Linked DNA regions of Nothobranchius furzeri. The protein of the gene in region 3 purifies or fractionates together with the protein of the main gene of each other region. This does not show direct contact. Links are inferred from orthologs where the notes say so. Each region holds a gene or a part of one and is shown on either strand. Other genes may lie near its edges.

Region 1 (3,650 bases), on a different chromosome or scaffold from region 3:
CCTTTCTAGTCCCCTTTTACCCTCTGAGCTCTGACTTTCTGCTAAGTTGTGTACGTGACCAGCACAAAGAAAATCTGTCAACGAGGTAACCTAGAGTTTTGGAGTTCAGCACCGATAAGAGTCTGGTTCATATTTGGTAAAGGGTAGTTTAGGTTTGTGAATGTTCTCTGGTGTTTTCAGTAAAGCTGAAGCAGAAAGAGTTCAGAACATTATCAGCTTCATCTTTGTTAGGTTTGTTCTGTTTTTCTTTTTTTTTTTTTTTTTTGTGGTTCTTCGTTATACACAAAGCAAAAGAAGCGTTACCTTTGCCTACATGTTTTGACGTCTACTGCTGCCTTCGTCAGAGCAACCGCCATTGTTGATGTCAGCGCTGTCGTTGGTGGCAACAAACGGGAATGACGCCACGAACACCGGCGGTTGCTCTGACGAAGGCAGCAGTAGACGTCGAAACATGTCGGCAAAGGTAAAAAGCTTTTTTTTGCTTAGTGTATAATGAAGAACCACAAAAAATTATTAATCAACTTCACTAACGGGGGTTGTGCTAGTGGCTAGTCAGTGGGACCAGAAATGAAGAGTTCTGCCACCTTAAAACGACCCCTCCTTCATTCAGATGGTTAAACAGCAATTTCATTTACTTACTTTGTCATCACTAACTCTGACCTGTAATACGTAACATTTTGTTTTGCTGTGCTTTTCACACCAACCATGCCATCTGGTCTTCGATAACCATAGGCTTCTATGTAAAGAACTATCTAATTGCAAAGTGGTGGTGGAAAACAGCAGACACGTTAACCACTACACGGTTTTAGGGACCCGAGTTGTTTTAAGACGACAGAAATTCACTTTGGTCTTGGCCCCAATCCGCCTAGCTGTTAGCTCGACTCCCCTGCGAGAGCTTCAGCCTGATGCTTCAAACTAGATCATATTTGGAGCTTTTTAAGCTGCAGAAGACTGACTGCTGATAATTAACTCTGCTTAAAAAAACTGAACGATCTTATTGTTGTGTTGAAAACCGGGTAATTAGTGGGGGAAATGGTCATCACCATTGCTGCTTGAGGCCCACAGCAGACTTATGACTTTAATCACTGAGTGGTTGCTGAGAAACCAAAGATAGTGTAATATGTCTGAATCACACTGTTCTTTTAACAAAGGCTCGTATGTTTCTTGTCTCCTGCTGACACAGGGCCATCTCTCTGAAGGTCTCGTCACAAAGTGGTACCGATCTCCACGGCTGCTGCTGTCTCCTAACAACTACACCAAAGCTATCGACATGTGGGCGGCTGGATGCATCTTTTCTGAAATGCTCACTGGGAAAACACTCTTTGCAGGTAAATGTTGACTTGGATTCATGTGTTAGCATCCAGTCTTCAAACTTATAGAAGAACAGTGTTTTTAAAGCTGTTTGTGTAAGTCAGAGGTAAATTTGTAGCACTGGTCTGAGGCGTGTGTTTGTCTTGCCTGCTTAAATCTGTTTAGGTGAGATGGTAGATAGATGAAGCACAGTTTTGCTTTCACTATTCTTAGTGCTCACTTTTTCAAATCTAGCAGAAGCTAGGTAAACCCTCCCTGAGCTGGGCACGAGGCATATTTACTCCCATGATCTGCCACTTTTAGACTTTCTAAACCCTCTCAGTCATGAATGTTGTGTAACCTTTCTAAGAAACGACCCAACGTCTGGTGTTTCAGGAGCACATGAGCTTGAGCAAATGCAGCTGATCCTGGAATCCATCCCTGTTCTGAGAGAGGAGGATCGGCAAGAGCTCCACAGCGTCATCCCTGTCTTCATTCGCAGTGACATGTCAAAGCCTCACACTCCGCTGGCCAAGCTGTTGCCTGACATTAGTCCACAGGGTGAGCTCAACATTATATATTCAAAAGAACTTTCAGAGTTGGGGGTAAGGTGGTCTGGTGAGATCCTTCATGCATCAGATCCTCTGTTTTCCTCTAAACAATTGCATTTTCCTCTTTTGCAGCCCTGGATTTTCTGGAGAAGATCCTCACCTTTAACCCCATGGATCGCCTGACTGCAGAGGAGGCCCTGGCCCACCCCTATATGGCTGACTACTCCTTCCCCTTGGATGAGCCCGTCTCTCTGCACCCCTTTCACATTGAGGATGAAGTAGATGATATCCTGCTCATGGATCAGAGCCAGAGCCACACCTGGGAACAGTATGTCTGACCATTTCATACGAACCACATAGAAATATAAGATTAGCCTTTTTAAGGAAGGGAGTTGTGGGGGGTGTAACTGTTTGCTTTGCTGTCTTCAATCTAAACTTTGACCCATGAGAACATATCATTGTTTACTGTTATCAGATTTTTTTGTCATTCGATGTGTTTTGTTGACTAAATTGTCCTCCTTCCATGTTGTAACAGATACCACGAGAGCCAGTTCTCAGAGGCTGATTGGCACTTGCACAGCACCCATGACCCAGATGAAGTTCAGGTTGATCCAAGAGCTCTCTCTGATGTCACAGATGAAGAGGAAGTACAGGTATGTTTCTTTTGTCAACATGCATGTCAGGGGCCTTCAACTCCAATCTTCAAGGACTACAATGCTGCGTGTTTTACACGTTTCCTGCTTCAGCAACAGAGTCTAATGGTTTAATCACCACCTAGTCCTCACCATGTTGAGTTCTGCAGACGCTTGTTGATCACTCCTTCATTTAAATCAGGCGTGTGGTAAAATTTGAATGATGGTAGATCTCGATGAGTGGACCCGGTGGCCCCAGGTCCTTGTAAAGACTTTTAGTTGTGTGCCTTTTTTATGTTACTAATTTGAGTTGGTTGGTTGTTTACATCCAGATTGATCCACGGAAATACACCGATGGAGATCGAGAGAAGTTTATGGACGAGCCATCCTTCGATTACTCAAGTCGCCATCCATCAGAGCGATCTTGGCAGGAAGACCATCATGAGAATAAATACTGTGACGTGCAGTGTAGCCACACCTGCAACTACAAGGCTGTGTCACCCTCCTATTTGGACAACCTCATCTGGAGGGACAGTGAAGTCAACCACTACTACGAACCCAAGCTCATCATCGACCTCTCCAACTGGAAAGAGCAGCAGAGCAAGGAGAAGGCAGACCGCAAGGCCAAGAGCAAGTGTGAGAAGAATGGGCTTGTTAAAGCCCAGATTGCTCTGAAGGAGGCTGAGAAGACCCAGAGCCATGCAGAGAAGGACAGTGCACAAGAAAAACACCAGACCGAAAGACCTCAAAGTCAACAGAACCAAGGCTTTGACTTTGACTCCTTCATTGCCAGCACCATTAAACTGAGCCTGCAACCTGAGCCCTGTCAGGAGGTGACTTTGCTCAGCGAAGTAGGCCTTCTGAATGAGCTCAACTTTTCTGTCTCCCAGCTGGAGGCTCCTCGCCCCAGCTCCGTATCAAAGACCATAAGTCAGGAGAAGGAAGAGAAGTGCCTGGTAAACCTTGCCCAGTTAGGCGGAGGTGGTTTAGGGGTTGTTGCAGCAGACTGCGTTTGGCCCGCTAAGCCCTGGGAAAACTTCAGCTCCGGGGAAATAGTCGGGGAGAATGGATGTCTGATAGATGAAGCATGCTGGGACATTCGTAACGTGGACCACTTCCAGAAGGAGAGCACTTACACCAGCTACCTGGACCACCTGTTCAGCCGCAAAGAGGAGGG
Region 2 (4,408 bases), on a different chromosome or scaffold from region 3:
TAGATAGATAGATAGATAGATAGATAGATAGATAGATAGATAGATAGATAGATAGATAGATAGATAGATAGATAGATAGATAGATAGATAGATAGATAGATAGATAGATAGATAGATAGATAGATAGATAGATGATAGATACATACATACATACATACATACATACATACATACATACATACATACATACATACATACATACATACATACATACATACATACATACATACATACATACATACATACATCACCACAGGCATATATAAGCAAACGTCGGATGCCATCTTAGATGGGCCTCCATTCACCCCAGTGCATTCATTTCTACTGAGGAAGGTGCTTATCCAACTTGAAATCACATTTTATCAAGCTTTTTTCACGAAATCAGACACATGGTATGGTATAATAATTAAAAGTAGATGAAATAAATTAAGATATAAAATTCCATCAGGTAGGCTAGAAAGGTCCATAGTAATCCCATGTGATCTGTTTTCAATAGTACGCCAGTTGTTGCAATCATAGATATGTATATAAACACATGACAAACACACGATTCATGACAGAATAAAAGAAAGTCAATAAATAGGTCGAGAAATAGTGAAAATACAAAATAATTAGCTGGGTTACATTTTATTGCTGGCGGCCCATTCTAGCTGACCGATGTAATTTGGATGTTGGTTGTCTTATTTTTTGGGGTGCACATTTTGCATATGTGTTCTGTTTATGTGGGCTTACCTCAAAATAATCTTGAAACATCTCTAAACAAAACCTATTTCACAGAACAGGAATAGATTAAGGCTAAATTATGTATGTATATATATATATATATATATATATATATATATATATATATATATATATATATATTGCTGGCTACCTGTCCAGGGTGTACCCCTCCTGTATGCCCGTTGACTGCTGGAGATAGGCTCCAGTGCCAATACAAAAAAATAAAAAAATAAATCCCCAAACACAGCCATTTGGACAAAAAATAATTGGCTGTCGTAAAATCGTTATTGGTTTTGTAAAACCAAATAAATTACTTATTGTGGTCTCAACCTGAATAACACGCAAATAGCCTATAGGTGGGGCACATGGTTCACAATTAAGTCACTTTCAAAAGCAAAACCGTTTATTTTAACATTTGCAAGTATGTTATCTCAAGCCTATGTGTTCTAAGGTTTGTATCAAGGCAAATCGCTTGTAAATGTGTTAATATTTAATCGAGTAAAGATTGTTTTACATCAAGCTGATCGCTCACCTTCCAGCTGCTACCATTGAGAGCAGAGGTCTGTTGTCTGGGGTAAGATGGCCGCCGTTTAGCTACGCCCTCAACTCTCGCTTTCACCAACTAGTGTTTATATCATGTATATGTCGATGGTTTATATACACATAGCTATGGTAGGCTGGAAAAAACGGGCAAATTTGTCCACTCTGCATTGACTTTGGACAGTAAGGAGACCCATCCAATATGGCGGCGACACAGTGACGCTCTCCAGCGCCGGGTGTCTACATGTCTATGCGCATCACCCCCACATGGGGGCGCTCTAACCCGCTGCATGGTTTCAGTTTGATGAACGAAGAGGAAGTCGACGACAGCGCCTGATGTCATCACGCAGAACGTGTAGCACTGAAGCAACATGGCTTTGAATGGAGGTATGTGAACTTAACTGTTATTTCCTTGCTAACTTTGCCGTTTCACTGTGTGTTTTAGTGTCTTACGTCGTTTGGCACTCATTTAAGCGGTGATTTCTGCGGTATTTTTATTTTTATTGTAATATTTTTCATCGCCACCGGGGAAAGTGTTATCTCCACGATAACAGCGTTGTATTTCTGGCTAACTTGTCATTTCCTGACCCCTTTTGATAAAAATTCAGCCAAACAACGAGAAAATAAATCACCACGCGTAAATATTAAAGCTGTGTTTCTGGTTGTGTAGCTTTGCACTGGTGCGATTCAGTTAATTTACTCCGTTGTTGCTGACCTGCAGATGAAGAGGACTTTGAGTGGGAACCTCCATGTGAGGCGGAGATGAAGGTGATCCAAGCTCGAAGGGAACGGCAAGATAAAATCAGCAAGCTGATGGGAGACTACCTTCTAAAAGGCTACAAGATGCTGGGGGAGTGCTGCGATGCTTGCGGGGTGAGTTCAGGCCCGAGGCGGTTCTGGGGTGGGTCCAGGGTGGGCCAGTGCCACCCTGACAGCAATCTTGCACCTCTCTGTGGCCTCCCTGCTGAGGACAGAGCCTAAGCATTAATAAGGAATTTATCTTTTGTTTTATGAAAGTATTTTTGCAAAATGTTTACTTACTGACTTATTCAAATTACCTTAAGAGAACTGCGGTTATCATTTTGTTGTAATGACACACTAAAAAAGGTAAAAGCAAATCTTCAAAACAAGCTAAGCTTAAACTCAAACACTGTCAAGGAACGCTCACCCCTCCCATCAGCGATTGTCCTTGGCCGGAAACAGGAACCTGCATTGCCAGAGGAAAAGAGATGGCGCTAAACACCGGTCACTGTTTTCTAGGTCCAAACATCTTTTGTTGACTGACTTCAAGTGGTGTTTTTTTGTTCTTTTTGGGCCTCTGGTAGTTTGTCCTGAAGTTGAAGTAGTAACAAATATTATAAAACATAATTATGGCTATATAAGTGATTGTGTGTATTCGTGTGTGTGTTTTCAGACTATTCTTCTACAGGACAAGCAGCAGAAGAACTACTGTGTCTCGTGTCAGGAGCTGGACTCTGATATCGACAAAGATAACCCTGGTGAGCGCCAGTTGTGTCTGCTCTCCCCTGATTTTGGAGCTCATTAGGCCCTAAAAAAGGGCAGCTGGTTCCTCTGTGGTGTCTTTAGGATTTAATCTCTCCAGTTCATATTTCAGTCCCACCTCTTTGTTCCGTTTTCCAGCTCTGAATGCTCAGGCTGCATTGTCTCAGGTGAGAGAGCAGCAGCTTGCAGCTCAGTCCCCTCCACCGACCCAAGCCTCTCAACTCAACGAGACACCCTGCAGCAGCAGTCAGGCAGGGGTGACGGTTCCTCAACCCCGACCAGAGCACTGTGAGGGCGCTGCTGCTGGAGGAAGAGCCCTCCTGCCTCCACCTCCCGCCCCATCTCCTTCAGCTCCTGTCTCCAGCCCAAGCGTAGCTCCCATTCGTACCCCTGTCAGTCCGCAGAGCGCCGCTCTACGACCTGTGCTGCAGGAAGCCGAGGAAGCAGTTCTTACTAAACTTCGCTGGGCCACTACCCAGTTACAGAGTTCATCCTCACTTGAGGCAAGCATCCAGCTCTGCAGCCTCATCACCAGCTGCGCCAGCTCACTGCGCAGCCTCAAGGAGCTCAGCCAGTAACCACAGGAGACTGGTTGACTCTACGGAGTGACGGGAATATCTTTTCTTGTTCTGGCTGCTGTAGGGTACAAACTTTGGGTCGGCTTTATCTCTCTGCCTAATTCTTTGCTTAAAGCTCAAATTAAATGGAAATTGGATCACAATTCAAATGTGCTCAAGTTCCTCTTGAAAAAGTGTAGGTGTGCCGATGGTAGAAGTATGTTGCTTTTGTCAAACTGTAAATTATGAGTACAAACATTCATCAGTTGTCAAAGCAGATCGACTTTCTTTAGTTGTCTTTGATCGTTTGATGAGTAAAAAAGGTTTGATGTAAATAACATAGTGTGTCTGTGAGGACATTTTGTAGTTCAAATTTTAAATTGAGACTCAGAATCTTCATTTTCATATTTAATCTAGAACATACACACCTTTCCCGCTGTACATTATTAGGACTTAATATTTGAAAAAATTAGTGATCCGTTTTCTAATTATGTGACTTAGAATAAATTCAGTTCTGCTCTGTAGATGATCATTTTGTCCACCAGAGGGCGCCGGTTTACATGCTAGCACATAGGTGGTTAAATAAAAAGTTTATTCTCAAATGTGCAACTTTCATGTAAATCCTTCGTTTTAACTCGCTAATCTGAAGCCTTTTGGAAACTGACAGTTTTTCTTATATAAAGTGTTTGTGATGAAGCTGTTGAATTATTTCACTGCCATTTTGTGTTTGGACTACATGACATGTCCTAATTTAAACAGAAACAAGATAAAAAACGTGTGAACTGATCAAATTGAGCAAATCTAGTAGAAAAAAAATAAATAAATGTAGTGATCAAATCGGCTATATCCAGTCCAGAAAATATATTACTGTTGCGTTTTAAACCATCAGGCTTTGTTCAGAAACCACCTAAGTAACTGGCTAGTGTCTTCATTAATCTGACATAAGGATTAATTAGCTGCATCAGGAAGGTTTTGAAGGCAGACATTAATGCATTGTGTCTCATTAGGGGACCACCGGTGAATGCCCCCATCTGCACAAAGAGCAGCATTTATTTATTACCAGGTGAGGACGCTCGGCGTTCCTA
Region 3 (3,650 bases):
ACCTGGAGCCGGATGCTGGTGAGGACAGCCTCCCCACATCAGATGTAGGCTGCTTGGATCGGCGCTGACAACCATTCTCTTTCTGTTTCTTTGCAGTTCTGACGGAGCACCAGCTCTTTGACGTGTTCAACAATGCAATAGTGTCTTTTTATCGCTCTGAAGATGAGGGCGGAGGAGGAGGTGTAGAGGGAGGAGGAAACGCTGGGACTGACTCCTCCTCCAGAAACGACAGAGGTAGCAGCAGCGGAGGAGGAGGAGGGACGAACTGCGACGCCGGAACAGGAGGAGGGAATTCGGACCACAGCCCAGCCAGTAATGCGGGAGGGGTGGGATCTGGAGGCGTGACGGGCGGCATGACCACCAACGACGCGCTGCTGTTCCACGAAAAGTGCGGCACTCTGATTAAACTGAGTAATAACAACAAGACGGCGGAGCGGCGGCGGCCTCTGGACGAGTTCAACAATGGCGTGGTGATGACCAACCGGCCGCTCCGGCACAACGAGATGTTTGAGGTGTTTGGAGTCTCGTCCGTCTCACCTCCACATAGAAAACCAAGCGGAGCTAACAGAACAGCGTTTTTATTTCCAATTAGATCCGCATCGATAAACTGGTGGACAAGTGGTCGGGCTCCATAGAGATCGGCGTGACGACGCACAACCCCAACAACCTGGACTATCCCGCTACTATGACCAATCTGCGCTCAGGTGGCTAACAAACCCTCCAGACTTTTGTTTTAAACAAAAACACGAGCTTTAATCCATGAATGGTTGTACTGTCTTCTCCCTCAGGTACAATCATGATGAGTGGCTGTGGGATATTAACCAACGGGAAGGGAACCCGCCGGGAATACTGCGACTTCAGTCTGGACGAGCTGCAGGTTTGAGCCGACAGAGACGGAAAAGGTCGAGCTGTTTTACCTCTTTTTAATAACATCTAATCGTAGGAGGGAGACCACATCGGGTTGATGCGTAAAGCGAGCGGTGCGCTCCATTTTTACATCAACGGAATCGATCAAGGTGAGACGCCTAAACAAGTCATGATGTCACGCTAAAAGGACTTCCTGTCCTAACCGTGGTGTCATCATCCAGGGGTCGCAGCGGCCCAAACCCCTAACGTGGTCTATGGTGTGGTGGACCTCTACGGCATGGCTGTTAAAGTCACCATAGTCCACAACCACAACCACAGCGACCGCCTCAGACGCAACAACGCCATCATGAGGGCTCTGTCGCCCGACGTGGGTCGACCCCGGCCCGCCCTGTCCTTCACTCCAGACGCGGAAGCTCCCGACCGCCTCCTCTTTCACCCCAACTGTGGCCAGAAGGCGGCCATCATCTGTGACGGCAGGACGGCGCTGCGACCGCAGTGAGTGCTCGTCCTCTCTGGTTTATGATGGCTTCACTTTTATTGAACTATTTAGTAAAAATGCACAGATTTATGTTGATCAGTTTCTTAACTTTTGTCACTAATAATGAACCTAATGATGATAACGCAAGATGGAAGCTGTTTGCAATGATCTAAACTGACAGTTACAATGTTTTTGGAAGAAAGTCTTATTGGGGAATGAGTCCAGACGTTGTTTAGGATGCATCAGAAGCATTCATGAGAGGTAGAATTATATTTTGGTCCACACAAAGAGAGACTATCCGAAGTAGGTGTGCACTGATGGCAACATTTAGGCCGATGTTGCCGTTATGGCCAACGTTTTCCAAACGTGATGATCGCCGTCACATGACCAAACAAATGACTGACCACCAGCACCCGCCGTCCCAAACCTGTACACAAATACCACCTAAAGAACTAAACATTGGTTGTTGATATCGGACCGATACCGAAGAAAATGACTATCGTCGACCCGTATGCCAACGTTAAAGCTGATATTTTGTGCATCCCTGGTATAAACGTCAGAACTTAAAGTACTGGTGACACAGCATAAAGGAGATTTGAATCCAGACTGCAAACTGGGAATATGAAAGAGGTACACAAACTTTGCCCAATTACAGACAAACAGCAACAGGCCTACCTGAGATCATTAAAAAGGCTAAGATCCCAAATGGCCGTAGGTGAGGACTGGGCCTTGCTTTCTGGCTCAGCTCCTTCTTCACCGGTTCAGTGTCCGAATCGTTGCAGACGCTGCCCCAATCCGCCTGTCGGTCTCCCGCTCCCTCCTGAGCTTTGAATAATGACTGAAAGAACAAGATCGCAGATACAAGCGGCCGAAATGAGTTTTCTCCACGGGGTGGCTGGGCTCAGGCTTGGGGATAGGGTGAGGAGCCGCTGCTCCTCCATATCAAGAGGAGTCAGTTGAGGTGGTTTGGGCATCTTGTTAGGATGCCTGCTGGACGCCTCCCCGGGGAGGTGTTTCAGGCACGTCCTGCCGGCAGGAGGCCCCCGGTCGACCCAGGACATGTTAGAGAAAGTACATCTCCGAATGCCTACTGGAGAAGCTGGTGGAGGTGGCTGGGGAGAGGACGGCCTGGAACTCCCTGGTTGAGATGCTGCCCCCGCGACCTGGACCCGGACAGGCGGGAGAAGACGACGAGACAAGAAGATCCCAAATGGTTTTCCTGATGACTAAAATCTGTTATAAATACTACCAAGCTTAGTTGGCCCACCCTGTCTGGAAACCAAAAATAAAAAATGCACTGATTAGTTTCTTTGGCCGATTCCAATTTGGGATTTTTCTGTTGCTGATTTTCATTTTGAAAGCTTATGATTTCTCACAACATACTCAAGTTTATCAAGTAGGTTGATTTGAAAACTATAAATAAACTCTGATGTGTTTTTACGAAACCGATTCTGCTTTCTGAAAGCTTTTCACTTTCTCACAAAGCGCGCCAAAAGGAAAGGAGTAATAGATTACTGAAAAACAAGTTTTCCACGTTAAGCTCAAATGAACAATAATAAGGTGCTAATTTAACAACAGTGCAACAGATGACTTCAACCACGGTGTGGTTCTGAGCAACCGGCCGCTGCGCTCCAACGAGGTGTTCCAGGTTCGCATCGACAAGATGGTGGACAAGTGGGCGGGCTCAATTGAGATTGGTGTCACCACACACAACCCCGCCTACCTTCAGCTGCCGTCCACCATGACAAACCTGCGCTCAGGTGAGAGAACAGCAGAGAACTTTGTTGGTTTGTCGTCTTTCTGAGGAGGTCTGATGTGTGGGAGGATGCTTTCCAGGGACGTGGATGATGACAGGAAACGGAGTGATGCACAACGGAACGACCATCCTGGACGAGTATGGACACAACCTGGATCGGCTCAAAGTAAGCAGGTTTTTGTTCGTTCAGCTTTCTGTAACTCACCAGTTTTGTTTTAATTCTCTTTTTCCCTTTGCTCTCAGGCAGGCGACACCGTCGGCGTTGTTCGGAAAGAAGACGGCAGCCTTCACTTCTTTGTGAATGGCGTGGCCCAGGGCCCGGCAGCATGGAACGTCCCGCCCAGCGTCTATGCCGTGGTGGACCTTTACGGCCAGGCGGCCCAGGCCACCATCATGGATGACATGGGTGAGGACCAGAGGGGGTGATACCGTATGACGTCACGTCTGTGATCCCTCTGACTGTCTGTCCTCTCTTGTCTCAGTGGACCTCCCCCCTCTGCCAGAGGACAGCTCAGAAGGCCCCACTGCCATGTCCCCAGGGAGCCCCTG

What was found.
Region 1: the proteins of neurl4 (region 3) and mapk6 purify together in Homo sapiens (affinity purification with mass spectrometry; 6 studies listed by BioGRID and IntAct, counting the BioPlex papers as one, with this or other methods). This does not show direct contact. The link is inferred for Nothobranchius furzeri from reciprocal best matches to the Homo sapiens genes NEURL4 and MAPK6.
Region 2: the proteins of neurl4 (region 3) and znrd2 purify together in Homo sapiens (co-immunoprecipitation; 4 studies listed by BioGRID and IntAct, with this or other methods). This does not show direct contact. The link is inferred for Nothobranchius furzeri from reciprocal best matches to the Homo sapiens genes NEURL4 and ZNRD2.

Annotation. Positions count from the first base shown.
Region 1 is NC_091749.1:41,770,422-41,774,071, reverse strand, and holds part of mapk6 (mitogen-activated protein kinase 6), read left to right. Parts: intron 1-1,183; coding exon 1,184-1,328; intron 1,329-1,686; coding exon 1,687-1,851; intron 1,852-1,973; coding exon 1,974-2,169; intron 2,170-2,376; coding exon 2,377-2,494; intron 2,495-2,805; coding exon 2,806-3,650. UniProt on the Homo sapiens protein: Atypical MAPK protein. Phosphorylates microtubule-associated protein 2 (MAP2) and MAPKAPK5.
Region 2 is NC_091750.1:56,222,028-56,226,435, reverse strand, and holds znrd2 (protein ZNRD2), read left to right. Parts: upstream 1-1,555; 5' UTR 1,556-1,634; coding exon 1,635-1,650; intron 1,651-1,984; coding exon 1,985-2,136; intron 2,137-2,677; coding exon 2,678-2,762; intron 2,763-2,904; coding exon 2,905-3,344; 3' UTR 3,345-3,633; coding exon of another isoform or gene 3,634-3,646; 3' UTR 3,647-4,019; downstream 4,020-4,408. Other genes in the region: leucine repeat adapter protein 25-like, read left to right, coding at 3,634-3,646, 4,270-4,408. UniProt on the Homo sapiens protein: Might play a role in mitosis. Antigenic molecule. Could be a centromere-associated protein. May induce anti-centromere antibodies.
Region 3 is NC_091742.1:53,442,411-53,446,060, forward strand, and holds part of neurl4 (neuralized-like protein 4), read left to right. Parts: coding exon 1-18; intron 19-96; coding exon 97-512; intron 513-592; coding exon 593-704; intron 705-788; coding exon 789-877; intron 878-943; coding exon 944-1,016; intron 1,017-1,088; coding exon 1,089-1,362; intron 1,363-2,923; coding exon 2,924-3,105; intron 3,106-3,181; coding exon 3,182-3,267; intron 3,268-3,344; coding exon 3,345-3,507; intron 3,508-3,583; coding exon 3,584-3,650. UniProt on the Homo sapiens protein: Promotes CCP110 ubiquitination and proteasome-dependent degradation. By counteracting accumulation of CP110, maintains normal centriolar homeostasis and preventing formation of ectopic microtubular organizing centers.